Oryctolagus cuniculus: one gene and its partners. The protein of the gene in region 1 purifies or fractionates together with the protein of each later gene. This does not show direct contact. Links are inferred from orthologs where the notes say so. Each region holds a gene or a part of one and is shown in the gene's direction. Other genes may lie near its edges. The genes, in order: G3BP2, STAU1, CAPRIN1, ATXN2L and IGF2BP3.

The links.
Region 2: the proteins of G3BP2 (region 1) and STAU1 purify together in Homo sapiens (affinity purification with mass spectrometry; 3 studies listed by BioGRID and IntAct, with this or other methods). This does not show direct contact. The link is inferred for Oryctolagus cuniculus from reciprocal best matches to the Homo sapiens genes G3BP2 and STAU1.
Region 3: the proteins of G3BP2 (region 1) and CAPRIN1 purify together in Homo sapiens (affinity purification with mass spectrometry; 5 studies listed by BioGRID and IntAct, with this or other methods). This does not show direct contact. The link is inferred for Oryctolagus cuniculus from reciprocal best matches to the Homo sapiens genes G3BP2 and CAPRIN1.
Region 4: the proteins of G3BP2 (region 1) and ATXN2L purify together in Homo sapiens (affinity purification with mass spectrometry; 4 studies listed by BioGRID and IntAct, counting the BioPlex papers as one, with this or other methods). This does not show direct contact. The link is inferred for Oryctolagus cuniculus from reciprocal best matches to the Homo sapiens genes G3BP2 and ATXN2L.
Region 5: the proteins of G3BP2 (region 1) and IGF2BP3 purify together in Homo sapiens (affinity purification with mass spectrometry; 3 studies listed by BioGRID and IntAct, with this or other methods). This does not show direct contact. The link is inferred for Oryctolagus cuniculus from reciprocal best matches to the Homo sapiens genes G3BP2 and IGF2BP3.

The regions. Positions count from the first base shown.
Region 1 is NC_091439.1:90,245,872-90,251,442, forward strand, and holds part of G3BP2 (ras GTPase-activating protein-binding protein 2), read left to right. Parts: intron 1-1,824; coding exon 1,825-1,906; intron 1,907-3,012; coding exon 3,013-3,186; intron 3,187-4,372; coding exon 4,373-4,463; intron 4,464-5,432; coding exon 5,433-5,535; intron 5,536-5,571.
Region 2 is NC_091442.1:11,269,768-11,275,946, forward strand, and holds the start of STAU1 (double-stranded RNA-binding protein Staufen homolog 1), read left to right. Parts: upstream 1-2,306; 5' UTR 2,307-2,567; intron 2,568-6,179. UniProt on the Homo sapiens protein: Binds double-stranded RNA (regardless of the sequence) and tubulin.
Region 3 is NC_091432.1:31,909,789-31,915,965, reverse strand, and holds the start of CAPRIN1 (caprin-1), read left to right. Parts: upstream 1-2,142; 5' UTR 2,143-2,468; intron 2,469-3,027; coding exon 3,028-3,243; intron 3,244-6,177. UniProt on the Homo sapiens protein: mRNA-binding protein that acts as a regulator of mRNAs transport, translation and/or stability, and which is involved in neurogenesis, synaptic plasticity in neurons and cell proliferation and migration in multiple cell types.
Region 4 is NC_091450.1:7,681,235-7,686,805, forward strand, and holds part of ATXN2L (ataxin-2-like protein), read left to right. Parts: coding exon 1-93; intron 94-655; coding exon 656-831; intron 832-947; coding exon 948-1,058; intron 1,059-1,534; coding exon 1,535-1,747; intron 1,748-1,830; coding exon 1,831-1,902; intron 1,903-2,127; coding exon 2,128-2,198; intron 2,199-2,636; coding exon 2,637-2,932; intron 2,933-3,009; coding exon 3,010-3,079; intron 3,080-3,533; coding exon 3,534-3,677; intron 3,678-3,793; coding exon 3,794-3,866; intron 3,867-3,959; coding exon 3,960-4,147; intron 4,148-4,377; coding exon 4,378-4,510; intron 4,511-4,597; coding exon 4,598-4,719; intron 4,720-4,826; coding exon 4,827-5,039; intron 5,040-5,184; coding exon 5,185-5,428; coding exon of another isoform or gene 5,429-5,517; exon of another isoform or gene 5,518-5,571. UniProt on the Homo sapiens protein: Involved in the regulation of stress granule and P-body formation.
Region 5 is NC_091447.1:15,443,178-15,449,235, reverse strand, and holds the start of IGF2BP3 (insulin-like growth factor 2 mRNA-binding protein 3), read left to right. Parts: upstream 1-1,913; 5' UTR 1,914-2,145; coding exon 2,146-2,320; intron 2,321-2,544; exon of another isoform or gene 2,545-2,715; intron 2,716-3,195; coding exon 3,196-3,256; intron 3,257-6,058. UniProt on the Homo sapiens protein: RNA-binding factor that may recruit target transcripts to cytoplasmic protein-RNA complexes (mRNPs). This transcript 'caging' into mRNPs allows mRNA transport and transient storage.

The DNA.
Region 1 (5,571 bases):
TTTCTCCTCTCTGAACTCTGACTTTTGGATAAATAAATAAATCTTTAAAAAAATATATTCTGTCTTAGTCCGAGAGATATTTTTATATTTACTCTTTGTTGTCCTTTTCTAAGTATTTTTATATAGGTATATCACCTCATGTAATCTTCATGACTATCTAGGAAGATGAAGGTACTTCTGTTATCTCACTATGCATATCCAACTGCTAAGCCTTTGATTAGTAAGGATAGTAGTAATTCATCCAAGATCACTCAGTAAATAAATGAATTGTTATAGTCATTATTCAATCCCACTTCTTTTTTTCTTTTTTTTTTTTTTTTCTTTTTTTTTTGACAGAGTGGACAGTGAGAGAGACAGAGAGAAAGGTCTTCCTTTGCCGTTGGTTCACCCTCCAGTGGCCGGCGCACCGCGCTGATCCGATGTCAGGAGCCAGGTACTTACCTGGTCTCCCATGGGGTGCAGGGCCCAAGTACTTGGGCCATCCTCCACTGCACTCCCTGGCCACAGCAGAGAGCTGGCCTGGAAGAGGGGCAACGGGGACAGAATCCAGTGCCCCAACCGGGACTGGAATCCGGTGTGCCGGCGCCGCTAGGCGGAGGATTAGCCTAGTGAGCCGCGGCGCTGGCCGATCCATTTTCGATTAACTTTATACACAGGAGACCAACTCTATACTAAGTAAAGAGTTCAACAATTTGCATGGTTTAAAAAAAAAAAAACTGCTCTTCAACAGTCAAGACAAAGGGTTCAAAGTCATTACATCTTGAAGTTAATTTCACTTTTTTTTTTTTTAGAAACTTAATTAACTTTAAGGAAGCATCTAAGAATGATACATCTTTAGGAAGTACTTAGTCATGGTTATAATACAACTCTTTGAGGACAGAGGTCCTGCATGAGAAGTTAGTGCACAGTGACTCTTGTTATTAATTTAATAATTAACACTCTTAAGTGACATCAGTGACCATCTGAGGCTCTTGACATGAGCTGCCTAGGCTATGGTAGCCTTTTGAGTCCACAAACTTCGTCAATATTTAGAAAAGGCCATAAGCACAGTGGAAGTTCCCTCTTAACTTCAGAGAAAAGTACCTCCTTTGATGACCTCTTCTTTGCATTGGGGCCTCACCCACAGAGGTCCTTCATGTAGGACATTTTTTGCCTCAGTGTCTTGGCTTTCCATCTTACTTGTTTTATTACAATAGGTGCTGAACTCTATGAAAACATGAACATTGTATCTTTGATAACCTTAATTTAAAAAGATGTTAATTCTAATTGCTAAGTTTAGGTAATGTCAGAGAAAGACTATAATTTATCATATATTTAAGGGCGGTATAAAAATATTAACAAAAATTAAATTCTAAAGTAGTTGTTGATTTTTTTTTACTTGGTCTCTGAATTTGTTATTTTAAATATAACTTTTAATATAAGCCTTTTGAATTAATAACCATTTGAAGCTCTGGAGAGTGTTTGGGGAATTATTTGGGAACAACTGATTACCGAATGAATTTAGATAAGTGCATTTTTATATCAGAAAAAAATCTATAAAAGATGTGGTAAGAATTAGATGAGAATAGCTAATGATTATTAGATATGCTAAGCATTCTATGTGTGTTACACTCATTTAATCCTTAAAACAATCACATGAAAACAGTTAATGTTCTGGTTTTGTAACCAAGGAAACTGAACTTAGAGTTAAGTAACTTGCTCAACATTCAACAACTAGTGACATAGCTGGGCCTGGAGCCTAATCTGTTTGATATGTGGACCTTTTACCTCCTAGGCTTCTCTTGAGAATTCAGCATTAATCTTCAATTATTGATGGTTTTGCAGGTTTTATGGCAGGAATTCCTCCTATGTTCATGGTGGTGTAGATGCTAGTGGGAAGCCCCAGGAAGCGGTTTATGGCCAGAATGTAAGTACTGTGTCATAAGGATTTAGATTTTTGTTTTTGTACGTTAAGATAGATTTCAAAAGTAGCCTTCTTGTGCCCATGGATTTTTTTTTTTTTTTTCAATTTGATCAGTTGTAACTGGAATTTATATATCAGTAGTTATCTAGAGTGCTCTTGGTTCTTAAACATTCAATTTTTGGTAAACTGTGATACTACATTGAGATGGATACAGTGGAGAAGATGGGATGTTTTATATCCTTATTTTTTTTTTTTAAAGATTTCTTTATTTGAAAGTCAGAGTCACACTGAAAGAGAAGGAGAGGCAGAGAGACAGAGAGAGAGAGAGGTCTTCCATCCGCTGGCTCACTCCCCAATTGGTCGCAATGGCCAGAGCTGTGCAGATCCAAAGCCAGGAGCCTCTTCTGGGTCTCCCACGCGGGTCTAGGGGCCCAAGGACTTGGGCCATCTTCTACTGCTTTCCCAGGCCATATCAGGGGGCTGGATTGGAAGTGGAGCAGTTGGGACTTGAACTGGCGCCCATATGGAATGGCGGCATTGCAGGTGGCATCTTTATCCACTATGCCACAGTGCTGGCCCCATCCTTGGTATCTCTTATATGTGGAATACTTACGACAGTTTATTAAGTTTATATATATATCTGTGGTTTAAACTCTATGTTATAGGAATGCACGGAAATATTTGCTTCTTAGGACTTGAAAGGAAACCTTTGGAGAGATGTGGGACTTGACTTTACCAAACAAGAATAAATTGGAAAAAAATGCCATCAGCATGTACCAAAGTAAAGTAAAATTAAGTGTGAGGTCAAGGAGCAGTCAGTACAGTCTGTGAGGAGAGCTAAATGTTTATCAAAGAAAAATAGGAGAAAGCTGTAGAAAGCACAACAGGGAACTGTTGTGATATCTTACATAGAGAGGTGACATGTTGAAAATGGTGATTTAGAAATACCAGTCTGGCGGTGGTGCATAATAGCATAATGGGAAATGGATTCAAATGAAACAGATTAAGTTGTTAACATGTTAGAGTTCAGAGGCAATCAGTGAGGGCAAGTATACAGCATTGTGTAGGTAATGAGTAATCACATTTCCCCCCCCCCCTTCCTTATAAAGGATATACACCACAAAGTGTTATCTTTGAACTTCAGTGAATGTCACACTAAGATTCGTCATGTGGATGCTCATGCAACCTTGAGTGATGGAGTAGTTGTCCAGGTCATGGGTTTGCTGTCTAACAGTGGACAGCCAGAGAGGAAGTTCATGCAGACCTTTGTTCTGGCTCCTGAAGTAAGTTTCTGTTTTCTCTTAGCTTTCATTTATATAATTTAATTTGGCTCATATACTTGGTTGAATTGTCTAAGAGTTTCTTCTAATAGGCTTAGGTTTGCTTTTTTTTTTTTTTTTTTTTTTTTTTTTTTTTTTTTTTGGGACAGGCAGAGTGGATAGTGAGAGAGAGAGACAGAGAGAAAGGTCTTCCTTTTTGCCATTGGTTCACCCTCCAATGGCCGTCACGGCTGGCGCGCTGCGGCCAGTGCACCACGCTGATCCAAAGGCAGGAGCCAGGTGCTTCTCCTGGTCTCCCATGGGGTGCAGGGCCCAAACACTTGGGCCATCCTCCACTGCCTTCCCGGGCCACAGCAGAGAGCTAGCCTGGAAGAGGGGCAACCAGGAAAGAATCGGGCGCCCCAACCGTGACTGGAACCTGGTGTGCCGGCGCCGCTAGGTGGAGGATTAGGATTAGCCTATTGAGCCGCGCCGCCGGCACATATTGTTATTTTTAAAGAAGTTTTTTTGGGTCTGTTAAAATTTATTTGAGTTTGTATACATGTGTGCCTTGACTACTTGGGATTAAATCAGATAGTGATACAAGTGTGTAAATGAATGTTTAATTACAGCAATAATCAACAATAATACAGAAGGTATATTTGTATGTCTCAAAAGTTACTTTTTAAAGACTTATTTATTTATTTATTTATTTGAAAGGCAGAACCACAGAGGGAAGGACAGAGAGTAAGAGGTCTTCCAGCCACTGGTTCATTCCCCAGATGGTTGCAACTGCTGCAACTCTGTCATGCCCAGGAGCCTGGGGCTTCCTCCAGTTCTACACGATTCTGGGGGCCCAAGGACTTAGGCTATCTTCTACTGCTTTTCTAGGTGCATTTGCAGAGAGCTGGATTGGAAGTGGAGCAGCCAGGGATTGAACCAGTTGCCCATATGTATGGGATGCTGGCATTGGCAGGTGGCTGCTTTATTGGCTACCACCACAGCACTGGCTCTTTTCTGTTGAATATTCATTTTGTGAGGTCTGATGATCCTTGAATGAACTTTTTAGAGTTTACTTTATATTAACATCATAACATGATCTGCTCTGGAAAATTATATTGATTGCAGAATATTTATTAAGGAAATTATGTATGCCATGTAATTTGTTCTTTAGACATTTATGGATTATTTGCATGTTATTTTCCTATAGGGATCTGTTCCAAATAAGTTTTATGTTCACAATGACATGTTTCGTTATGAAGATGAAGTATTTGGTGATTCTGAACCAGAACTTGATGAAGGTGAGGTTACTTTGTTGATAGAAGGGCTCTACCAGTACTTTTAAGGACACTTTGATTTCTATAAGACTTAGAGAAATTTGCATCTACTTTTTTTTTTTTTTTTTAAAGATTATTTATTTGAAAGAGTTGCACAGAGAAAGAAGGAGAGAGAGAGAGGGGTCTTCCATCCGCTGGTTCACTCCCCAGTTGGCTGCAATGGCCAGAGCTGTGCTGATTCAGAACCAGGAGCCAGGAGCTTCTTCCCAGTCTCCCACATGGGTCTAGGGGCCCAAGGACTTGGGCCCTCTTCTACTGCTTTCCCAGGCTATTGCAGACAGCTGGATTGGAGTGGAGCAGCTGGGATTCAAACTGGTGCCCATACGGGATGCCAGCACTGGAGGCTGCAGCTAAGCCATGGCGCCCACTCCAATTTGCATCTATTTTAATTGAATCAACCTCCTTTACTCCTTATTTTTCTCTTTGTTACAAAAGGTATAGATGTTCATTATATGAAGTTACATAAAAAGCAGACATAGGAAGTGAAAAATTTTCTTCCATCAGTCTCATCCATGTTTGGTGCTAACTACAGAGTTGTTTTGGATCCTGTACTTAAAATTTTTATAGAAATGCTGACTCAAATCTTTTTTGCCCTTAATATATCCTTGTTGGCTGTCCATTTGGTGGCTTTGCCATAATTATTTTAATAAATTTTCCACTGAAGGGTACTGGATTGTTTTCCTTTGTTTTTCATTATTGCCATGTTACATCAGTGTGACAAAGGAAACTGAATTAGAGTATAATAAATACCAAGCTTCAGTCTGCTTCTCAGTTTTTTGAGAGAACAGGAAATAGTGCAATTGAGTATCTTTGTGCAAACTTTACCAATTTTGTTTTTTTCTATCATACCAATTCCTTAAACATGAAAATTTTTATCAGAAATTATGTAAATCTTCTTTGCAAAAAATCTGTGATATATTGTTTTATTGTCAGAATCAGAAGATGAAGTAGAAGAGGAACAAGAAGAAAGGCAACCATCTCCTGAACCTGTACAAGAAAATGCCAACAGTGGTTATTACGAAGCTCATCCTGTGACGTAAGAATAGTTGTTTGCAAGGTTAAATTTGGTCTG
Region 2 (6,179 bases), on another chromosome or scaffold:
CGTGATTGGCAGGGGCCCAAACACTTGGGCCACCCTTGGATGCTTTCCCAGGTGCATCAGCAGGGAGCTGGACGGGAAGTGGAGCAGCTGGTGGGATGGCAGCATAACTCGCTGATTCACAAAGCAGGTTCCCCACCTCAGTCTTCTGTCCAGAGGCAGATACGGTGCCACTTCACTCCTATCATTGCAGACCTGTGGAACACAGAAGCACCCTGTCGGTTAACAAACACCCACGTGTTCTGCACTTGTCAAAGCTTTTCTGGATTTTTTTCTGGCCAATTTTATTGATTTTCCCCAAAGAGATAACTTCATTTGATGAATTTTTTCTATTGTTTTTCTGCTCCCAATTTCATTAATATCTTTTCTTTATTATTTCCTTTTGTTTGCTTTGGTTTAATTTGATCTTCTAGTTTTTTTTTTTTTTTTTAAGATTTACTATTGTTTTTGCAAGTCAGAGGTAGAGAGAGAGCGGGACAGAGAGAGAGGGATCTTCCATCAGCTGCTTCAGTTCCCAGATGGCCACAACGGCCAGGGCTGGCCAGGCCAAAGGCAGCAGCCAGGGGCTTCTTCTGGGTCTCCCAGGTGGGTGTCAGGGGCCATCCTCTGCTGCTTTCCCAGGCCATTACCAATGAGATTGATGAGAAGTGGAGCTGCTGGACACAAACCAGCGCCCATATGGTATGCAGGTGTTGCAGGTGGTGACTTTACCAGCTCCGCTCTAACACCCGCCCTTTCTGGTTTCTTAAGGTGGAAACATAATTGATTTGAGACTTTCTGCTCTTCTAAATTAAACGTTAATTGCTACAACTTTCCCTCTAAGTATTGTGTTAGCTGCATCCCCCAAAATTTAAAAATGTTTTTGTTTTCATTTTATCGAGGAAGAGAGAGAGAGAAAGAGAGAGAGAGAGAGAGAGAGAGGGAGAGGGAGAGAGAGATTCTTCTTTTGCTGGTTTACTCCACAAATGCCCACAACAGCCAGGCTGAAGCCGGGAACCAGGAAGTCCACCTGGGTTTCCCAGCTGGGTGGTAAAGACGCAGGTGCTGGAGCTATGACCCGCGGTGCGTTAGCTGGGAGGTAGAGCAGGAGCAGAGCTGACTCGAACCCAGGCCCCCTGATGTGGGCTGTGGGAGCCCAAGTGTGGCTGGACTGTTGCTCTCCGATGCTGCCTGGCCACCTCATTTTTGGAGAGAGGTCACAAAGCCAGGTTACTATGTGTTGAAATTGTTCAGCCGTTAAAAACTAACAAAACCAAAGACAGAGAGGAAGAAGAGGAAAACAGCGCGAACAGTCACTCCACAGCGCTCATTTGAGGACCACTGTGTTAACCAAGGCACAGGTTCGTCGTGGGGCTGCTGGGTGTGGGAGGGGAGCCTTAGACGTGTTTTTCTTTTTGTACTTAGGGACTGGCAGTCACATCTTTTTTCCCAAAGGCCTCAAGTCTTCTGGGCTGTTGCCAAGTAATTAAGGAATTATTTTTCTTTGTTTCAGGATGAAGATGGAAATAAGAAACTGAGCACTGGAGATGTTACTCCAAATTCTGCCTGCTCCTTCCCGCAAGATAAGTTATATAGGAATGGGCAGAGCGCATAAAGTCCCCGTGAAAAGTTGGCTCTCATCTAAAATTACACTGCTGTTTCTGTTAGAGTGGGCACTTGCTGTCAGTGTACGGAAACAGAAGAAAGTCGGCCTGGAAGTGATAGGCGGAGCCCTGGGGTCCTAACGCGCACAGCCACATCATCTTTTCGTTTGTTTTTTTAAGCTTTATTTATTTGAAGGAGAGAGTCTGCCATCGCAGGTGCCTGACCGCTCCCCTCGGCGCCGGCCCCTATCTTGCCTTTCAGTGCACCTAGCAAGTTAATGATTTTATTCGCGCCTTTTATCCGCACTGGAACGTAAGCTCCATGAGGGCACGGGCGTTTGTCCGTTCCGTTCTTAGCTCTCGGGGCAGCGCCTCGCACATGGCGGAGGAAGGAGGCCCTGAGGGCGGGAGCGAAGGGAACGACACCTGCGAGACGAGAGGACGGACTGAGAGAAGGAAGAAGGAAGTGCGGGAGGCCAGAAGGCACGCGCTCCGCCTTCCCGCTCGGGGCCCGGCAGAACTACAACTCCCAGCAGGCCGCTGGCCCAGGGCGGGCGGCGGCCACCTCGCCGCGACCAGGCCCCGCCTGCCGGCTCCCGGTGTGCCTTGCGGGCGCCGGCCCCGCCGCAGCGCCCGCCGGGACTTGTGGTTTGGGCCGCGGGTGGGGGTGGGGCCGGGCCTGGAGGCGGGCGGGGGCCGGGGGCGGGCGCCGGCCCCTCCCCCGTCACTTCCTGCCGGGCTGCGGGCGCCGGAGCGGCTCCTCAGCGTTTGCGCCGGCCGCCGTCGCTTCTTCTCTCGGCTTCCCCGCTTCTTGGACCCCCCGGCCCGGCGGCGGCGCCCGCCTCCTCCGCAGCCACTCCGCCTCTTCCCACCCGCCGTCCCTTCCTCCTCTCCCTCTTCCTTCCTCCTTCCCCTCGTCGCCGCCACCACTGCCGCCGCCGCCGCCCAGGACCGCCGGCCGAGGGGCGAGCTGAGGGCAGCAGCCAGGTGAGGCGGCCGGCCGAGCGCGGCGGGGCCCGCGCGGGCGCGGCGGCCACGGGGCGGGGGGCGGCGGGCGGCGGGCGGCGGGTGGGGCCTAGGCCTCGGCGGGCCGCGCGCCGGCCTCCTCCCCCCGGCCCGGGCCTGCGTCCCGCCCGCGGGGCCTGCCCGGGGTGGGGGAGAGGCGGGTCCTCCGGCGCCCCCAGCCCCGCCGCCGCTTTCTCGCCGGGGCCGGGAACAGGTGCCTGGCGCCCTGCGCTGGGCGGGCGCGCGGGGACAGCGAAGTTCCTGCCGGGCTGGTGGTGTCCCCTCTCCAGCCCTCGGGGTCCGGAGCGTCCGCGTCGTGCGGCGGGCACGGCCCAGGTGTCCGGCCCCGGCGCGGCCCCTTCAACTCTTTGTGTGGGCTGGGGAGAGGGGCGCCGAGACCGTCCTGCCGCTTTCTGGCTGCGGAGGTTCGGGGAAATGGGGCGTGTGAAGCGCTTATCGGAGCGCCAGACCCACAGCGTGTCCCCAATAAACCGCCTGCATGATTGATTGGCGTGATAGGAAGGTGTAATTTAGTGGGGCGAGTGGACAGAAGTTGACCTACCTAGCTGCCTCGCTGCCCGTGCGCGAGTGGGGGAGGCAGCGGTGTTCGGCGTGGCCCCCGCCGGCGCCGGGGGCATTGTTTTGGGCTCAGGGCTGGAAGGGGGCGAGCCCGGGCCGGACCCCCTGCGCGCCAGCCGCGGGTCCGCCTTCCCCGTGGTCGTCCCGCCTCTAGGAAAGTTGCTGGCAGCCGCTGCCCCTGCGCCGGGCGACGTGCTTGTCCTCGGGCCGGGGCCGGGGCCGGGGGCGGTGGACGGACGGCGCTGGGCGAGCGTGCCTGTCCTCGGGCCGGGGCCGGGGGCGGTGGACGGACGGCGCTGGGCGAGCGTGCCTGTCCTCGGGCCGGGGTCGGGGCCGGGGGCGGTGGACGGACGGCGCTGGGCGAGCGTGCCTGTCCTCGGGCCGGGGCCGGGGGCGGTGGACGGACGGCGCTGGGCGAGCGTGCCTGTCCTCGGGGCCGGGGCCGCGGGCGGTGGACAGACGGCGCTGGGCGAGCGTGCCTGTCCTCGGGGCCGAGGGCGGTGGACGGACGGCGCTGGGCGAGCGTGCCTGTCCTCGGGGTCGGGGCCGTGCCCCTGCCTTGCCGCGTCGGCGTGGGTGCAGGCTCTCGGCTGTTCGCGCGCAGATGCGCGTCCCAGCCGCCTGCCCCTGTTCTCTGGCCGTGCGGAGGGCTTTGGGGTCGCGCTGCCGTGCTGCGCGTGTTTTTGTTTAGAAGCGGGCGGACGGAGTCGAAGTACGGTTTTGCAGGAAGGGACCTCTGCTTACGTTGCTACTTGTTGAAGCAGAAACTAAAAATACAGCCGGGGTGTGGAGGCAGCGGTTTGGCCGTCTGGGGACGGGCGCACCGAGTTCTGCTAATGCTGGGCTGCGTGGTGCGGCTGTGCCGGTCCTTGGGGAGCTGCGGCCGCCGAGGTGCTCAGCTTCGAGTTAGGACAGAGAAAACGGAGTGTGCGCGCCGCAGACGTCCGCCTAGACCTCGGCTTGTCTTAGTCCGTTTCCTTAGAGAAATGAAAATGTTTTGATTTACATCTCTCAATGCAAAGTGGCTTCCTTGTTAGGTTTTTCTAGAATTTTCTGACACAGTGTCACATTGCTTCTGATTTAAAATTTGACGTTTTAAAAACAGCTAAACAGACAACTCTGCAAACAGTAAAAAGCATGTTTTCTGCTACCTTGTGGTAAGTTGTGCTAGGGAAGTTTTAATATTGCAGTGGGTAACATAAAGCTGTTTTTAAACTTTTCACTGTGGAAAATACATGAAAATTGACTAGACGACTTAGGTATTGTGTTTGTCGCTCAACTTCGGCAGTTTTTTTTAAAAAAATAGCTTCCATCCGCTGGTTCACTCCGCAGGTGCCGCACGCACAGCTGGGCCTGGGCCAGGCTGCCACGTGGGTGTCGGGGACTGCGTGCTCCATCATGTGCTGCCTCCTTGGCCCTCGGCCGAGGGGCAGGCAACCCCGGCTCCAGTGTGAGAGCCCCAGCTCTGACAATGATTAACTTACAGTTAAGAGCAGTCTTGTACCTCCTCCCCCAAACTGTATTGTTTTGAAGCAAATCTTAAACATCGTATCACAGTGTTAGAGATTTTGACTTTTACCAGAATGCTCCTAAAATGTGCTTTTAAAAGAATCAGTTGTCATTTTGTTTGCTTGGCTTCTCATCTCTGAACAGATTACTTGGTTACTGTGCAGTGGGGAAAAGACTAGCAGCTGAGCTAGTTTTGATCAGTGCTGTCCCGCTCTCAAAGTCAAATCCCAAATGTGGCCTTGCTTCTCTGTGTGCAAAAGTAACTCTTGAGCCATGAAAGACTAATTGAAGAGCCATCAGAAAGACAGATTTCCTATCCCTTTGTTGGTGGAGACCTACCTGCTAGGCCCCTTTAAATAGGCAGGAGCTTTGTGTCAAAGTTAAACCACAGTAATGCACCATGAAGCTTCCCAAAGTTTCTTTAGCTGGTTGTGTAAATAAATGCCGTCTCAGTAAGTATTAAGCGAAGGATGTTTGATTTCAGAATCTTTGTAGAATTGTTTTCCAGAGTCCCCATCTGCTCTATTTACAAACAGCACATTGTTAGTAATTATGAGTGGAATCTTAAGTTTTGTGACTAGTGTGAAATCAAAATAAGTGTTCATATTTTTCTTGTTTAAAAGGAGATCTCTCCTAGAAGTATTATAAATATTTGCTATTGTTACGTAATTTTCAAATTTCTGTCCTGAACAGTTTCTAGTTTGACTTGTAACATTGTTATTTCATTCTTGTGGGTTTTCATTGAAGCTTGATCAGGGGTACAGTGGAAACGTTATATATTATATTTTAGTTACTACAGCCTGGGAGATTTGGAAATTAAAATTAATCTGAGGAAAAATCTGTTGAGTATCTAGGGGAGGACACAACATTTATTTTTTAAACAGTGCTTAGTGCTTCCTATCAGGCTTACCAGTAAAACTTTTAAGTGTTTAGAACTGTTACCATAAATAGCTGCTTCAGGATAAATTGCTGTCTTTTAAGATTCAGCCAGAAAACCCACTTATACACAGATTATTTTAAGTTTAGAAATGAACGTGACTCACAGAACTTTTCCTCCCAACTCTGAAGTCCAAACGGTTGATATTATTCTGAGGGTAATCATTAAACAGCGGCCTAGACTGTGCTGCCCATCCCGGCTCTTCCCCAGGTACCGTGCAGGCTTTAGCGGGGAGGCGCAGTGAGTCTCTGTGTAGGGCAGCTTCTTGGACACTGTGTTTGCTGAATGGAGTCAAAATGAAATTCACCAGCCTAAAGACGAGACTTTGTGTGACGTCCTAAGTCAGGTTTGGAGACCGTGTTTTTCCGAGTCTGAACGAGATCGTCTTATTTGAACTTACACTTGTGACACAGACTGCTCAGTCTGGGAAATGTAAGTTCCTCCCCCTAGAGGAGCGCTTTCGGGACTGCTTGCTTTTTCTCAGAAAGGGATTTTCTGAGCCATCAAACATGTTTAGAGAATTTTATGACAGATTTGTTTTACTCTAGACCCCAAACAGGTTGTTTTAA
Region 3 (6,177 bases), on another chromosome or scaffold:
CAGCCCCTGTGGGTACTGGTTTGAGTCCTAGCTGCTCCTCTTCTCATCCAGCTCTTTGCTATGGCCTGGGAAAGCAGTAGATGGCCCAAGTGCTTGAGACCCCACACCCACTTGGGAGACTTGTAAGAAGCTCCTGGCTCCTGGCTTTGAATCCACTCAGCTCTGGCCATTGTGGCCATTTGGGGAGTGAACCAGCGGATGGAAGACCTCTCTCTCTCTCTCTGTTTCTGCCTCTCAAAGAAATAAACTTAAAAAAAAAAAAAAAAAAAAAGACTTGGGCTCCACTTCAGGAGTCTGATTCTATAGCTCTGGTATACCAAAAGGGTATTTCATGTACCATCTCAAAGACACTGACAGGTCAAGTTCCAATGAGGTGATTTTTCAAACTGTAATGTATATACACACCTGCAGATCTTGTTAAAATGCAGGTTCCTTCAGTAGGTCTGGGTTGGGCTGAATATACTTGATTGCAGGAAGCCAAGGATTATAATCTTACTTTCTAGCCTCTAGGTCTAGCATAATTGTTCATCACAGTGCCAAGAATAGTTTAGGTACTTAAATCTTGAATAACCTAAGGCCAATTTCAATTTCCCTCACACCTAACATATAACTGGTTAGCACATCGGGTATAAGGAATGCAACCTCTTATCACCACCTTCTCTGCTACACCCTGCCCTGGCTACCACATGTGGGCTGAGCTATTTCAATAGATTCCTAACTGGTCTCCTAGCTTCTGCTCTTGCTCCACCCTCACTTTCACTACCAAAACACACATACTGTAAATTCTTCACACAGTAGTAAGAGTGATTTCAAACACTGGTTGACACCCCCCTGTTTGAAATGATGACTCCTCATTGCACTCACCGAATGCCAAAGTCTACGTCCGCTATCGGCCCCTGTAAGACTGGCTCCCTTTTAGGTCTTTCACCTTCACTCTGTGCTGTGGCACTCGGACCTCCTTGCCTTGAATCCACCAAACACACTCCAGCTCAGTGTTTGGTGTTCCCCTACCTGGAAAATTCTTCCTCCAATGAAGCTGCTTGGCCTTCTACCTCACCTCCTCTGGTCTTGGCTCAAATGTTACTCAGTAGGCTTTTCCTGACAGCACCCCCCCCCCCGCCCCTTTACAAAATTTGTTTTCTCCTCCAATACTCTATTTGACATATATTTACTTGTTTTTCGCTACTCAAGAAACTGAGTTCCATGAAGATATTTATGTTCCCAATCCCGAGCACTGACACTTCCGGCATGCAGGCGGGTGCTCAATAAATATTTGAAGGAATAGATAACACTTTGCAGCTAAGGGGAGTATCTTGAGACCAGAGGCTGCCCCAGGAAGCACCGCTGGCCAGCCAGTGTTACTCACTGAAGTCCCCAGGGAACAGTGGGTCCGCTGGAACCCTCTTCTACATCCCGTCCGCATGGAATTTGAATCATAGATTGGTCCTTTACTGTTGTCCTACAACATTATGATGCGGAATTTCCCACTGATCATATTCCCTTTAATACACTGCTTCCAGCGCTTGGCTACTTATTTTCTGCTCACTGCCCACACCCACCCCACCCCAAGGCTGGAATAATCCTCTTGGATTTTTAAAATTTCATTCAACTTTTTGTTTTAGGCTGACACAAAGGGGGAAAAAAAGCCGAATAATTCCCAATACTCGGGTCTACCGGATACATTTCATGCTAGGGTAGCTGAAGATCAAGTTTCGCGTGCGCGTGGAGTCCTAAGGCTCAAAATGCCATGGGTCATGCCCATTCCCGGCGCGTTCCACAGGGAACTCCTAGGTTACCGGGTGACTGGAGAAAAGGGTCTGGCGTCTGTTTTGAAAACACCTTTTGAGGTGCGCGAGTTTGCTTGCTCTGTATTCGGGAATACTGGAAGCTGAGATTGCAGCACCCACCCCACGCACCCCTTACTTGCAGAAACCTCTGCCCCCCCCCCTCAACCCCCACCCCCACCAAATAAGGGCTCTTCCTAGGGCAGTCGCCAGCTCCGGAGCCAGCTGCTTGACACCTATTGTCCCCGTTTGGACGCCAGGCGACTTCGCCTGAAGGACCCTAGCTTCCATTTCGCTCCAAATGCCAAAGCGGCGCCACCGCGGCCTCCCAGGGCCGCCCCGCCCTGGGCCCAGGGGTCACCCCCGCCAGCGCAGGTGCTGGGGCTCTTAGGGGAGGCGGCCGGGCCGGCGCTTCCGGGCAGGCGTTCGCGCCGGGCAGCCCCAGCGGCCGAGGAAGGCCCCGCTCGCACGTCTCCCGCCCCCCGCGCCCTAGAGGGCTGGCTGGCTGGCTTAGTCCCTCCCGCTGCCGGCTCTCGCCTCACTAGGAGCGGCTCTCGGTGCAGCGGGCACAGGGCGGAGCGGCCTGCGCCCACGGAGCGCGCGACACTGCCCGGAACGCACTTGCCACCCTTTGTCCCCCTCAGCTGCCCACTCGGGATCTCCAGCGGCCTCCACGCGCGCACGGTGAGCGCCAGCCCGGACCGCGGAGGCGCTCAAGGGGAAGAGGGCCGCTGCGAAGAGTGTCCTTTACCTCCGCATCGGCGGGAGCTTCGCGAGGGGCTTGCTCCTCCAGTCCTCCCCACCCCCAGCCATTTCCAGTGCCCTTCTCTACCCGCCCCCCCCACCCCTGACCTCCGTCTCCCCTCCCCTCCTCGGAAGGCGGCGCGTCCCGGCCCGCCCGGTGGGGACCGTTGCACTGGCCGTTGGCGGCCGGCGCGGCGAGGCCCCGCCCCCGGCGCGAGCCTCGGTGCCCCGGGGCGGGTAGGCCGAGCGGCGGCTCGCGCGGGGGAGGGGGGGGCGGGGGGCGGCGCGAGGCCGGCCGGGCGCCCCGCTGGCGGGTCGCGCGCGCGCGCCCGCGCTCTCTTCCTGCCCCGGCGTCGTGCGCGCGCGCCCCCTCCCCCACCCGCTCGCGCAGGCTCCCGCCGGCTGCGCGTTTTGTCCCGCGTCTCGCCCCGTCCGTCTTCTGACTTGGCCGCTCTTGTCCTTCCTCCCGCTTTTTCTTCTCTCCCTGCACGGTCTGAAGATGCCCTCGGCCACCAGCCACAGCGGAAGCGGCAGCAAGTCGTCCGGACCGCCACCGCCGTCGGGTTCCTCAGGGAGTGAGGCGGCGGCGGGGGCCGGGGCCGCTGCGCCGGCCTCTCAGCACCCCGCAACCGGCACCGGCGCCGTCCAGACCGAGGCCATGAAGCAGATTCTCGGGGTGATCGACAAGAAACTTCGGAACCTGGAGAAGAAAAAGGTGCCAGGACCCGGCGGGAGAGGGAGGGTCTGCTGCGGCCGGGCTCTGCGCGCCCCCCCACCCCCGCCCCCAGCCGCTGGAGCTGCACTTCCTGCCGCTTTCCTGGGTCCCGGGCCCCCACGCCCAGTCTCCGTGGTCAGCGGGAGCTTCGTGCCGGAAAGCGGGCTCCTGGGGGAGGTGCCTGTCACCTGACCCGGACGCGCTGCGGCCCCGGGGTCTGCGTGCGACTCGGGCTTCCTGGCCTTCGGGCTTGGCGAGTGTGCGGGCGGGGGCCTGCCGCCGCCTCGCAACTGTGTGATGCCCTTGGCCCCCATCCGACGAGGCCCGGCTCCTTGGACCAGGGCCAGCGGGGAAGGCCGAGGAAGTGCCGGGGCGGGGGGCTCCGGGCTCAACCGCCTGCCTCGTGGAGTTGGGGCGGCCCGTGTCGCACAGCCCCGGGGTTGTCCGCTCCGTTCCCGTGTGCTCCGGCCTGCTGACCGTCCCCTCTTCCTCCTCGGGGAGAAGCGTGTTCCGCATCTCAGAGCAGAATGGCCCGTGTTTCCGTGCGGCCCGTTCTGAGCGGGCCTCGGCCGTGCGTGCGCTGCCCTCCGCCCCCAGCCACCGGGCTCCCCCACGTTTCCCTCTTTGTTTCAATTGTCTGGGTGTCCCCCGGGCCTCACGCGCAGCCGGATCGTGGGAGGACTTCCCGCAGCGACTCTCCGCTCCCGGGGACTGAGGAGGGGCTGGGGCACCGCCACGGCGGAGGCTGGCCTGGGGGGGTGGGTCCGGCTCGGCCTCCGGGCGTTCGCTGGGTCTCCGGGCACATGGAGAGAGTCTAACATGGCGGCGGCTGCGGGGGGAGGGCAGCGCTGTACTGGAGCTGCATTGTGAGCACAAAGCGAAAGCAGAGGGGGAGGGCCGAGGCCGGCAGCCGCCGGACTGGCCTCTCGCGCCCCCCCCTCCAAAAGTAATCGAGCCACACCCACTGGTTTTGGATTCAGCGTTTGGTCATTCTGGTCCACTCCGGAGGGCTGCCTTCCAGGCGGCCTTTTGTTTTCTGCTCTCTGCGCAGGACAGTGTCCCAACTCTGCTTAGCAGGGGTGTGTGCGTGTGGATGGAGAGGGGCTCGCAAGGGAAGGTTGGAGGTGGAAAGGAAGAAGCAAAATCGTCGTGGAAAAAATGGAGCAGTTACATCGGTGGCTGTTAATGCTCACTCCCTTTTACAGCATAACTTTACTTGTCCGCCCCCGGTACCACCTATTCGTGATAACAACTCGCATTTTTGAGGATATTTAAAATTGCTTAGTTAGCCGTTCACCTTATAGTGTTACTTAAGGTGTTGAGACAGTGTGAATGTATGGCAAAAATTTGAGCTTAAATGCTTATAATGGCTTATTTACTGACTTATTTTACTTTTTGAGGGGGATTTTAAAACAAACTGTCTCTCCTTAAGTAATAAAGGTTGGAAATTTTACTTGGCATTTCAAGGACTTTATTTGAAATTGAGAAATGAAACAATCTTAGGATGTCTAGGTTTGTTTTTTTGGGGGGGGAAGTAAATGTATTTTATTATTAGTGAACGGAATAATAGGCCTATCTGTATAGCTACGTTCAAATGTAGACTAAAACAAGCATGCCCAAGGCTAGTACCTTGAGTGTTGCCCATGGAATTTAATTTTATGCTATCCTATTTGAAAATGAGTTTAACTTTGGTGTCTTAAAGTCTTCTCAGTGTAATACACAGTCCTGTCAATCTGGCTGATGCTTGAATGCCTTAATTTTCAGAATTTCTTGGAAATCTTTTTTTAAGATAGGAATCAGACCATAAATGTTAATGACATATTTTCAGTATAGACATTTATGTTAATGACTGAAGAATAATTCTTAAAAGACAAATATGAAGTAAGGCACTGATAAATCGCCAGCTTAGTTGTGAAGTGACTTACATTCTGGTGTTCAGGTACATCTGAAAAACAGAAATTTTGTTTTTAAGCCCGGTGAGGACTTGAACCATGAAAGGTTTCCCCCATGTGTACAAGGTGTGTATACACTCACATCCCCTCCCTCCAAATTATGGGAGACAGAGTAATGTAATTATTACAGAGGTTGTTGACTGAGTTTATAAATACTGAGATTGCCTTGTAATGATAGAGATTTAACAAATTGCACAAAGTAACAAATATATTTTGCATATTTTTCCTGCCATTTCAGAGTTTTGGGTGCTAGATAGCAAGAAAGTCAAGTTACAGTTAAGTGAGGCGTCTTCATAAGCCAAAGCCTGAGTACTGATTGGTTAAATAGTCGTTATTGTAACTAAAACTGTATTTTACTTTTTTGCAAAATTCAGGCATACTCATTTTCCCCTAATTTAAACACATCCGGTTTTTAGTTTAAATTTCTTTTTCTTAATATCTAGCTGTTTTGGCTCTATGAGAGGATTTACAGTGATTCAATAGGAGTATTTCTAATGTACCTGAAATAGAACTTGCATTACAAATCAGTTTTGAATTCCTTTTTAGGAACCTTAATGGAATAAAGTAAGATAGCATTTACAACTGGACTTATTTTTGTATCAGCCCATTAGTAACATATTTGACTTGTATTTCAGTCATGACCTATTCATATTGGAACCTTCTGTACCAAAATATCCTTTCTTCCCCCTGTGGATTCTAACATCAAGTACCCTGATATAATTTACTCAATGGATATGTAGTATCATGTCAAGGCATAGAGAATTATAATAAATTTATTGTACTTTGTTTAAAAAACAAAATTATTCCTTTCCTAATGTGAGGAAAGCTGAGCATCTGTTTGGAGAGAATGCATGCTTAATGTTGATGAAATATGATCCTATTATGTAATGCAACTCACTGACTTGGTTTTAAAAATTTGGGCTTATAAAGACTGCATGAACAAGTAGCAGAGAATACAGTGGTGATAAAGAGAATCAAGTAT
Region 4 (5,571 bases), on another chromosome or scaffold:
CATGGAGAATGACGATGGGCGCACCGAAGAGGAGAAGCACAGTGCGGTCCAACGGCAGAGTTCCGGGCGCGAGAGCCCCAGCTTGGCGTCCAGGCAAATGCTGGGGGCGGGCAGGGCTGTTTGGGCTTCACTGTAGGGTCCAGGGCCCAGGCCGAGCGCTTTGTACAATGTTTGAGCCTTAGGCCTTAGTGAGTTGTAGGTTAAAACAGTGATTTCCAGTTTCTAGATTTAGGAGACTGAAGCGTAAAGACATTAAGTAATGCTGAAGGTAACAACTTAAAGCTTAGGAATTTGGGAGGGGTGGGGGATTCTTTTTCCGTTTCTAGCATACATTTTTTCCCCTGTATGTTTGTACGTGTTATAGGTAACTAAATTAAACTAGACTCTCTGTGATCTGTGTCTTGTAAAAGGTGCAGCTCGAGCTGTACTGTGAGCTTACTTTCTCGTAGGTCAGGCGCGGTAGACTTGTGGTGCACTGGCCGGGTTGGTTGGGTCAGGGTTGTGTAAGAGAGGGTCATGAGCGTGGAAGTCGTAGGACATTCAAGTGAGACAGTGAAGGAAGCTGGAGCGGTTAGCTGGGGAGGGCTTGGAGAGAGGCTTCATGTTTCGGAAGTCTGCGTGTGGCTGCCTGGCCTGACTGCGCTCTTTCGCCCAGGGAAGGGAAGTACATCCCTCTGCCTCAGCGTGTTCGCGAGGGGCCTCGGGGAGGAGTGCGCTGCAGCAGCTCTCGGGGTGGCCGGCCCGGCCTGAGCGCTCTGCCGCCTCGTGGCCCTCACCATCTGGACAACAGCAGCCCTGGCCCAGGCTCCGAGGCACGAGGCATCAACGGAGGTGAGTTCAGGAAGCAGGCTCGGTGTGGTGGTAATTGGAAGGGCGGTGCATTGGTGGTAATGTAGGAACTGCGGCTCTGCTTTCTTACTTACAATTTTCATTTAAAAAAAATACAGGCCCTTCCCGCATGTCCCCTAAGGCACAGCGGCCCCTGCGAGGTGCCAAGACTCTGTCCTCGCCCAGCAGCAGGCCCTCTGGGGAAGCTTCTGTCCCATCTCCCCCTGCAGGTAAGACTTCATAGTGCTAGGGAGTGGCTGAGAAGCAGTAGCAGGACGGAGGTGTGTGGTGTCGGAGTGCTGCAGTGGGCCGTGGCTGGGTGGCAGGGGTCTGAAGGGTTGGCGTTTACCCCTTTTGGAAAAGAATTTTTCAGTTGTCCTACTGCAGAAACCCCAGTCCAGGAACTCAGGGTGTGTCTGACTGGCAGCTGTGGTTTTTTTGTTTGTTTGTTTGTTTGTTTTTTAGATTTTGCCAACATTTTAAAACGAGATGCCATAGGAATTTTCCAATTCCTTTTGAAATATAAACCGTTCTACCAACCCCAAGCCTACTCTTAATGGGCTGGTATAGAATCACTACTGCCCTGGAAACATTGCTGTCTCTCCTGAGGCCATTTACCTGCTTCTGTTAGCTCCTTGGGAGTCATAGGTGCACTTCCGTGGTGTTCTTGGTGAGCCCCGTGCTCACAGCAGTAACCATTGTATAGCTCTCCCTTTTCTTCCAGTGGGCCGGATGTACCCGCCACGCTCGCCCAAGTCTGCTGCACCTGCCCCAATCTCAGCTTCCTGTCCTGAGCCTCCCATCGGTTCGGCAGTGGCAACTTCTTCAGCCTCCATCCCTGTGACCTCATCCGTCGCAGATGGTGGCGTGGGTTCCATTTCCCCAGCTTCTCCAAAGATCTCACTGGCCCCTACAGATGGTAAGAGCGGGGTGGTGGAGGGTGTGGACAGTGTGAAGTGGGGTTCTGGACAGGGTGACCTTCAGGCATCTCTCCTTGCTCAGTAAAAGAACTGTCCGCCAAGGAACCCGGCCGGACTCTGGAGCCCCAGGAACTGGCCCGGATAACTGGGAAAGGTGAGAGGTTTGGTTCCTGCCGGTGCCTGGTGCCCCTTTGTGCGGGGAGAGCATTTCCGTTAGAAAGCTGGCTGGGATTCCGAAGGCAGCACTACTCTGCTCTTTGATTCCGATTTCTCTCCGGGTTCTCGGGAGCTGCTGTCTTCTTGCCTGGGCTGTTGGCGCTGGGTAGCCAGCTTCAAGAAAGAAATGTATTGTTTTTCCTTTTCCACTGTTTTCTCGTAGTCCCTGGCCTTCAGAATGAACAGAAACGATTTCAGCTGGAAGAACTGAGGAAGTTTGGGGCCCAGTTCAAGGTGAGGGCAGGGGAGTGAGCTGGGATTGCTAGCGGTCGCAGGGTATGTGGAGGATGGAGAAGTGAGGACTGGGCAGCAGTTTCAGTTGAGGAGTGCCTGGTTCAAGTCTTAGTTTCTCCGCTTGCGACCCAGCTTCCTGCTAATGCACGCCCTGGGAGGCAGCAGATGGCTTAGCCACCCTCATGGGGAGACCGGGATTGAGTTCTGGGCGCCAAGCTTCAGCCTGGGCCAGCCCTGGCTTTTGCAGCCTTTTAGGGAATGAACCAGCACATAGAAGATTGATCTCTCTTTCCTTTTTCTCTGAGTTTGAAATAAAATGAAAATAGTTTTCTAAAAAGTGGGTAGGTAGGTAAGGGAGGAGAGCTGAGCATTGTGCGGGGGTGAAAGGAGGCAGGGCCTGGAGTCTTGACATTGCTGTGTGTGTCTCTCTCCTTCCAGCTTCAGCCCAGTAGCTCCCCTGAGACCAGCCTGGATCCTTTTCCTCCTCGGATCTTAAAGGAGGAAGCCAAAGGGAAGGAAAAGGAGGTCGATGGTCTGTTGACCTCAGAGCCCTTGGCATCCCCGGTCTCCTCTAAGACAGAGTCCGTATCGGATAAAGAGGACAAAACACCCCTGGTACCAGCTGGAGGCACCGAGGGGCCAGAACAGCCCCCACCACCTTGTCCAAGCCAAACTGGCAGCCCCCCAGTGGGCCTCATCAAGGGAGATGACAAGGATGAGGGCCCTGTTGCTGAGTAAGTGGGGTGGGAGCTGTGGGGACGTTGGGTGATAAGGGGCAAGCCGTGAGGATTGACCTCATTTTCTCTCCTAGACAAGTAAAGAAATCAACGTTGAACCCTAATGCCAAGGAATTCAATCCTACAAAGCCTCTGCTATCTGTGGTGAGATGGGACGGGAGAACATGGACTTGGGTTTCTGTGGGGGAGTCTTGGGGGACAGTGGAGCAGTGGAGAGCACTTGGTCCCAGGGCCACTCAGCTGGCAGTGCTGGGGGAACACCGTATTTGTATGGGGAGAGCAGCTCGCGCTCAGGGCTTCTCAGGTTCCTGGCATTTGGTTCAGGGGTTATTTGAGCAGGGAAGCTGCAAATAATAAGCTTCATTCAGGCCAGCTGACCTGGCCCAGCCGCTGACTTAGAGGTGTGATGTTGGACAAGCCAATGAAACCGGCCCCATTTTCCTCACCTGTGAGTGGAGAATGTGCATCTCACAGGGTTTGGCGTGGAGCTTGTCCTAGCAAAAGCACACAACACGTTTGGTTCATAGCCATCTGGGGGTGCTGTGTAGCTGTTGCGGAGGTCAGACAGAAATGATATGTCGCTCCTTGTCTGTTACAGAACAAATCCACCAGTACCCCAACTTCTCCAGGGCCCCGGACTCACTCAACTCCCTCCATCCCGGTGCTGACAGGCCAGAGCGGGCTCTACAGCCCCCAGTATATCTCCTACATACCTCAGATTCACATGGGACCAGCTGTGCAGGTAAGAGGCCGGGGCACCTCAGCAGGGAGGGCTGGCTTTGGTTGAGCTGGCTGAGCCGCCAGCTCAGCCTCTGGGCTTTTCCCGGCCTGTCACAGCGCTTCTGTGTCTGTCCCTAGGCGCCCCAGATGTATCCATATCCTGTATCCAATTCAGTGCCTGGGCAGCAGGGCAAGTACCGGGGAGCAAAAGGTGAGCAGGGTCTGGAGGGGCCGTCGGCGGGGCCGCCTGGCGCCTCCTGGCAGACGGAGCTTGAGCTCTGTGCTACTTTGCCCCCATCTGCAGGCTCTCTGCCCCCCCAGCGCTCGGACCAGCACCAGCCAGCCTCAGCCCCGCCCATGATGCAGGCTGCCGCCGCCGCCGGCCCACCCCTGGTGGCTGCCACACCATATTCTTCCTACATCCCCTACAACCCCCAGCAGTTCCCAGGCCAGCCTGCTATGATGCAACCCATGGCCCACTACCCCTCACAGGTGACTGCAGCCCAGGAGGGAAGCGGGGAGGGGGCCCCCCAGCTCCTCACTCCGGGACTGGGTCAGGAGGACAGGCGGTGTTCTGGGTGGGGATGGTGGCAGCCTTGGGCACCTGAGCCTCAGGCTTCTCTGCCTGGTCGGGTTGTTATGAACGTTCAGGAGTAACGGGCAGTGTGGTTGGTGCACGCGGTGCTCCCCTGCCCGCCATGCTGACCCCGCCTTTGTCCCAGCAGCCCGTGTTTGCCCCCATGCTTCAAAGCAATCCACGCATGCTGACGTCGGGCAGCCACCCCCAGGCCATTGTGTCATCCTCCACCCCTCAGTACCCTTCTGCAGAGCAGCCCACCCCCCAAGCCCTTTATGGTGAGTCCTGTGTGCCCTCCCCCGCTCTGGGCTGTGGCCCTCGCCGCTTCTGGCGTGCTCAGCACAGGGTCTCCCTTTGTCCCGCAGCCACTGTTCACCAGTCCTATCCGCACCATGCCACGCAGCTCCACGCCCACCAGCCGCAGCCGGCAACCACGCCTACTGGGAGCCAGCCGCAGTCTCAGCATGCGGCCCCCAGTCCTGTCCAGGTGCCTGCTGGAGGGGCAGGAGAGGGTGGTTAGAAGGGAGGGCTAGACAGGGGATGGCTGGCCCTGGACAGAGGAGTGGGTGGCACTTACCTTCCCTTCCCCTGCAGCATCAGGCGGGGCAGGCCCCACACCTGGGCAGTGGACAGCCACAGCAGAATCTGTACCACCCAGGGGCCCTGACAGGCACGCCGCCCTCTCTGCCACCGGGACCTTCTGCCCAGTCCCCTCAGAGCAGCTTCCCCCAGCCAGCCGCTGTGTATGCCATCCACCCCCACCAGCAGCTGCCCCACGGCTTCACCAACATGGCCCATGTTACCCAGGTAAGAGGACCTGTTAGCACAGGACGATCTCGCTTTGATCGTGTGGACACGAACCGTTCCTCGGCCACTGTGCCCCCTGCACCGGGTTTGGAGAGCCTGGCTCAGACCTTCCGTGGTCCTCCTGGCGTCTTTCTGTTCTCTGCAGGCCCATGTCCAAACTGGAATCACAGCAGCCCCGCCCCCTCACCCTGGGGCTCCCCACCCGCCCCAGGTGATGCTGCTGCACCCACCCCAGAGCCATGGGGGGCCCCCCCAAGGCGCGGTGCCCCAGAGTGGGGTGCCTGCACTCTCAGCTTCCACACCCTCACCCTACCCCTACATCGGACACCCCCAAGGTGAGCAGCCTGGCCAGGCGCCTGGATTTCCAGGAGGAGCCGATGACAGGATTCGTGAGTTCTCGTTAGCTGGGGGAATTTGGCATGGAAGAGCTGAGGGGCTGCAGGTGGGGCAGGATGCACGGGTTCTGGGTGGGGAGTGAGGGGTCTTGGAGGCAGGGCTGTCCCACAGGGCGCCCGCCGACCTGCACCTGTCT
Region 5 (6,058 bases), on another chromosome or scaffold:
TCAAAATCTTTTCAGAACTTTTTAAAAAAAGGGTGAAAAGAACAAGAGCTTTGAAAACTTAAAGCTAGTTGTAAATTCAGAGGAATTTCACCATTAAAATGTTCTTCCCAGATAAAGCTCATAACAGCTCCACAAGGGCGTTTTCCTCTCCCACAGCACAAAGTAAGAACGTTTTGCTGAATTAAACCTGAATGAAATTATTGTGAAAGCGTGTTTACAAAGTTGGATTTGCTTGGCAGGAGAGGAAAACCTGTTAGAAGACACAGCTGCTTTTAAAATGGATGATCTGACACCTTCCGGTTACTTAACATAAAATCATAAAGTAAGTTCCTTTTAAGAGACGAAACGTAAACACAATGCAAGAATTCCAGTGCTTCCAAAAAAAAAAAAAAATATCAGGTCCCGGTCACGCTTTATTGGGAAACACTTTTCAATGCCACACAGTATATAATGTGGTCGAAGAGTAGCCAACGGCACCGGCCGTGAGTTACCGAAGATGTTTGCAGCTACATTGCGATACCTTCTCTATTCACAACACATTTTCCTGCCGCCGAGAACACCGAGTCATTAAAGATCCCAGTGCCTGTTCCCGCGCTGCGTAGGATTTCATTCACTTTAAAGACGAGCGTTTTCCATCTCTCCCCTGGACTGTCTGCTACGAGCCCATCCCAGGGCTCCGGTGCACCCGAAAGACCCTCGCAGGCTCCCCGCCCGAGGCCCTCCCCCACTCCCACCATTGTGCTCGCCCCAGGCCGGCGAGAGGCGCAGGGCTCGCCCCGCCGAAGGCGCGCACCGAGGCGGCAGGGAGCGGCTCGGGCCATTTTGCAAGTGAGGCTGCCACCCAGGACTGGCGCGGGGCGGTCTTCCCCCGCACGGCTCCCAAGTTCTCCAACTGAAATCGTCTCCATAAAAGTGCCAACCCGCCTCGCCGCCCCGAGATCGCGGTGGGGGGGGGGGGTCTCCCGCAGGCCGCCCCTCCCCCACCGGCGGCCGGGCCCGCCCCCGGCCTCATTTATCCCGGAGCCTTTTCCGAGCCGCGCAGCCAATGGCAATCGCGAAGCCGAGAGCCACCGCGAGCGCAGGCGGAGGAGGTGTCGCGCAGACGCCCGCCCCGGACGCCGCGCCCCTCCCCCGCCGGCTCCGGGGGCGCGGGGCTCGGCCCCCCGCCCCTCGCCGCGTCCGGTCCCCGCCGCCGGGGGGCGGGGCGGGGTGGGGACAGGCCCCGGCCCGCACCTCCGGCGTCTTCCAGGCAGCCAGGCGAGTTGGGGACGGTGACTCTCGGCCTTGGTCGTTCATCACCTATTTGCAAAAAAAAAAAAAAAAAAAAAAAGGAAAAAAATCGAATAATTAAAAACTGCGGTTCCGAGAGCCGGGGAACTGCCCAGCAAGCAACCCCAACCCCTGCACCCTGGAAAATAAAATCAATGCCCCGGCCTCCCCCCACCCCTCGCTCCCGCCCCGCCGGCCCCCGGGCAAACTCGGCGGCGCCCCCCGTCCCCCGCCACCCCGGCCGCGCCCCTCCCCCACGCCGCCCCGCCCCCACCCCACCCCCACCCCCACCCCCACCCCCACCGCCTCTCGCTCTCTGCCTCCTCTCCTCCGAAACCCACTCTAATTGAGGCGCCGGGATTCCTCACGTGAGACGTTGATTTGTAGCTTGAACACGTGGCTCATTCAAAAAGCCGGGCCCTCGCCGTGGATTCCTGCGCCCGCCCGCGCCCCTCCCGCGTGCCCGCCGCGCTGCGGGGGCCTGGTGGGGCGGCGCTGCGCCGGGCCCCGCGCCGGGCGCTATTTTCGCCGCGCGGCGGGGCCGGGCCGGGCCGGGGGTGGGGGGGGCGCCAAGTAGTTTCCTCCCCCGCCCCTCCCCCCGCGCGGGCTGGTCCCGCCTCCGCCTCTGCCTCCTCCTCCTCCTCCTCCTCCTCGGAGTTGGGAAGACTCGTGGATGCGCCCGGGCTGGGGCTGGGCTTTCTCTCTCCTCGCTCTCGGTTGCAGCGCCCGGGAAGGGGCACCCCGCGCCCCCCGGACCCGGGCTCGGCGCGCGCGGACCTGCGGGACCTGGCCCTCGCCGCTGCCGTGTTTTTCATTTTTTCGTCCCCCCACCCCACCCCGCGCTGTGTTCCTGTTTCCGAGCCGCCCCCTTTCGCGATGAACAAACTGTACATCGGGAACCTGGGCGAGGACGCGGCGCCCGCGGACCTCGAAAGTATCTTCAAGGACGCCCAGATCCCGGTGTCGGGGCCCTTCCTGGTGAAGGCGGGCTACGCCTTCGTGGACTGCCCGGACGACGGCTGGGCCCTCAAGGCCATCGAGGCGCTCTCAGGTGGGCCCCGGCCTGGCCGCCGCGCCCGGAGGCGCCACGGGACCCCAGGCCGGGCACTCAGCGCGCGGCGCGGGGGTCCAAGGGCCCGGGCCGGACGCGCTGTCAAGAAAGCCCCGCGCGGGCACGGAGGGGCGCGGGGCCGCGGCGGGCGCGCGCTCCAGGCCCCGCCACGCCGGGCCCGGGCCGGGCGCGGGCGCCTGCTCGCCCTGCTGCTCCCTGCGGGCTAACCTCTGCTCGCTAACTCGTGGCCTGGACCCGGCTGCCTCTCGGCCTAAGGGAGCGCACGGTATCCCGGACACGGGCTGCCTAGGGAGGCCGCGGGGCTGGTGCCTTGCACGGGCGGTCCCGCGCCGCCCCGGCTCCACCTCGCCCCGTCCGACGCGCGCCGGGGGCAGGTGGGCTCGGGCGGCGGCGGCCTCCGGGACTGGCGGGGCGCGCGCGCTGGTCCGGGGCGCGCGGGGCGACGAGGCCTGGGGCGGCAAGGTTGCGCTGGTTCCCTCCGAGAGCCCTGAGTCTTAGGGCTTCTCCTCCTACCGACTCAGCCTGGCTGTGGGCGCTCGGCTCGCCCTGTGCTCGGCCGCACGTCCGGCCGGCCCCGGCTCCGGCGCCAACGGTTCCCGGAGGGCCTGGGCTGGGACCAGAGAACAGGACTGGGCGCCCTCTCCCCCGAGTCGGCCCTGTGGGGGAGGGTCCTGGAGAGGCCGGAGAGACCCGGTGCCTGGCTGCCACCCGAGGGGCCCCCACTTCCCGAGGGGCCCGCTGCCCACCAGCGTAGCGGCGGCGCCGAGGCCTCGGGGCGGCCGGTGGCGCCGCCCAGGGTGTGTGGGGCTCGGGGCTCCGGCGACCCGACAGTCTCATGTCTCGTGTGTCCGCAGGTAAAACGGAACTGCACGGGAAGCCCATCGAAGTTGAGCACTCGGTCCCAAAACGGCAGAGGTGAGCGTCTTTATTCTTTTCTCGCCCCATTGTTGGGAGCCCAGACTCCACCGAGCGCAAACCCTTTCCCCGCACCCCGCCCCGGGCTCTTGGCCATTGTGCTGGCGAGGAAGGGGGTCTCTCGGAGGACGCTCTGGGCATAGCAGGTCTAGGTGGTGCCGCAGGGCGCGGGAGGCTGCGGCCGGCCCAGGTGCGGTGGGCCTGCCCGGGAGCCGGGGCGCGAGGCCGGAGCTCGCCCCTACCCTGCTGGCGCGCCGGCCGCGCTTGGGTCCCGTCCCGAAGCCTGGGCTTCCCGGCCCAGCGGAGCCTCTCTCGGCCCCTCCAGACTCACACAGGTCTTTGCCGACCGTGCCTTTGTCTCCCTCTGCGCCCCCACGCCCCCTGCCCCCTTTTTCCTGGGTCTCTCTTTGCTTTCAGCTGAGCCCCAGGGTGGTGAGACGGGGAGGTGGGTGCTAGCTCTGCAGGAGGATTTCTCCGAGAACGTGCGTAGCGTGCCTTTTTTGGGGCAGCGTTGTGCAGACTCCTCGAGCCTCTGAAGTGTTTTCCAGACCAGGCCGGATCGGGCTCTGTAATCCTGTGTGTGGCGCTGGGTTCTTGCAGGGTGGCCCTGGGGCTCCTGCTTCCCACCGCCCCACTCCTTGCCGGGGCCTGACAAGGAGCTCCAGGCTGCCGCGCCCCGGGGCCTGCGTACGTGCGGCCTGGCGTCGGGGAGAGCGAGCTGGGGGCCGCACGGTTCGCTGTGCGGACGCGCGCCGGCGTCCGGCCGCCCCTGCTTCTACAACCAGCTGCCTTCCGGGTAAAGCGTTTGCAAACTGAGTCTCGTTTCTAGGAATGAGTCGGCTTGGTTTTACGTGGAGGTCTCTGGTTTTAGGCGCTGAATTTTCGTTAGGATACGTAGGAAAGGGAGTAACCGATTAGATTTAGTTGTAGTTGGGAATTATGTTTAATTACATGAAATTATTTTTAAAAACCTGTAAAATAATAGAATTTGTACTGAAAAGTCTCAGTTGATGTTAATTGAACGGGACTTGAAGAAAGGAGAAGTCTTATCCCTCTAAAAAGAAATGTATACGTCTAGCATGTGAATTGTGAACCTAAATACACACACACACACACACCTCTACACCTGCAAATTCTAAATGATTTCAGAGTTTAAGCACTGTCTTAGTTTTCATCAAATGTTGAATTAAAAGTAAGAAAATGGTAATGCTTTAAGGACTGGCATTTTAACAGTGGAGAGTTTTAAATGTAAATACTTAGTGTCTTGTTTTCAGGTAGATTGGATTAACCTACATGCAAATATATGATGGCTTCACCCTCTTGCTTTTTGTTTCCAACTGTTGTGAATTTCTTCTCACTTGTAGGGGATTGAGAAACATCTTCTGGTAACAACTGCTTGTTTTAAAGGTTTTTTTTTTTGCCTAGCCCTGAACATGCTTGTTACTTTGTAATGGGCGGTAGTTCCTCTTAGCACATTAGATACAACGTTTCCAGAGGCAGCAAGTGTCTCTGTGGAAGTTTGTCAAGGTTGTAAACAAGGTGAATTTTCACTAGCATTATACTGTGTCACTAGCAGAGTGAAGGGGTGAATACAGTGGAAACTTTTTTATGCACTAATTTGAGAGAACAATCAAGGGCTGTAAATGCTTTGCTTGTATTAAAATGTCTTAAATAGGAGAATCCAGGAAATTTACTGGAAATTTATAGTACGATTTGGTTCCCGTGACCCTTGGAGCTGTAGTGCAGTCCTCTGTTTCTGGGCTGTTCCACCGCCTGCACAGGCTCCCGGGAGAGGGCAGAGAAGGCTTCCCTGACAAGCCCACGCCCAGTACTGTGGCAAAGCTGAGCAGTGGCACACAGCGGTGGAGCAGTGAGAGTGGCTTGAGTGTCACAGACTGCTGCGTGCCAAGCAAGCTGGCCGGACTTCTTTATGCTTGGCAGCCCTTCATTCCCGTCTGTCATTGTGTGCACATGAGGCCAGCATGCCCACATGTACAGCCGTGACCTTTCTACCTGCTGTGCAAGGCATCTTGGGAGCCTAGTGCTGGAGCATGCTTATGGCTGGTCTCTGAGATGGATGAATGGGCTTCAGCACCCGAGCAGGGCGCAGGCCCAGGAGGCAGTTGGATGCTTGGGAGGCTGGTCTAGCTCTGATTTTGAGCCAAGCTGGTGGTGTGGGTGGTGGTGGGGGAGGGCATTGTTGAGTTTGCTTGAGATCCAGCTTAGCTCCCCGAGATTACTTCTCTCCTGACCGAAGTCTCAAGGGAATGTGGAAGGAATGTGGCTTTTCAGCATTCAGATGCCCCTCAGTTTGGGAAGATTGTATCAGTCTCTAAGAGGGCTTGAGATCCCCACGTCCACAGTGGAGGAAGGATTCCGCCGGTGAGAGATGGTGGCGTGCTTTGTGTCCCACATACCAAGGCTACGGCAGATGAAGACTTCACCCCCAAGGTATAAGCTTGCCTCTTTTTTCCTTCTTCCTTGGAGGTCTGGGTGAGTGTGGAAGTAGTTGTGACTTTGAAAGGTTGTAGCTGAGTTTGGTGGGAACGGCCGCTGGTGATTTGTGGGCATTTGCTCCTGTGTGATTTTATAAATAGCACTGATGTGATGTTGTTGTGTTGTGGGCTGTTGGGCATGAGAGAGGGAAGGGGAAAAAAAGTTGCTGACTCTGGGGAACTGAGAGGATGGTGGTTTTAGTTCAATTTCCATGGCTTTTTTATATTATGAAAATAATTTTTCCCATTTTCAGCCTAGCCATTTGTGATGGAACCTCCCTATGATTTTGTTGTTAGTGCTGATAAG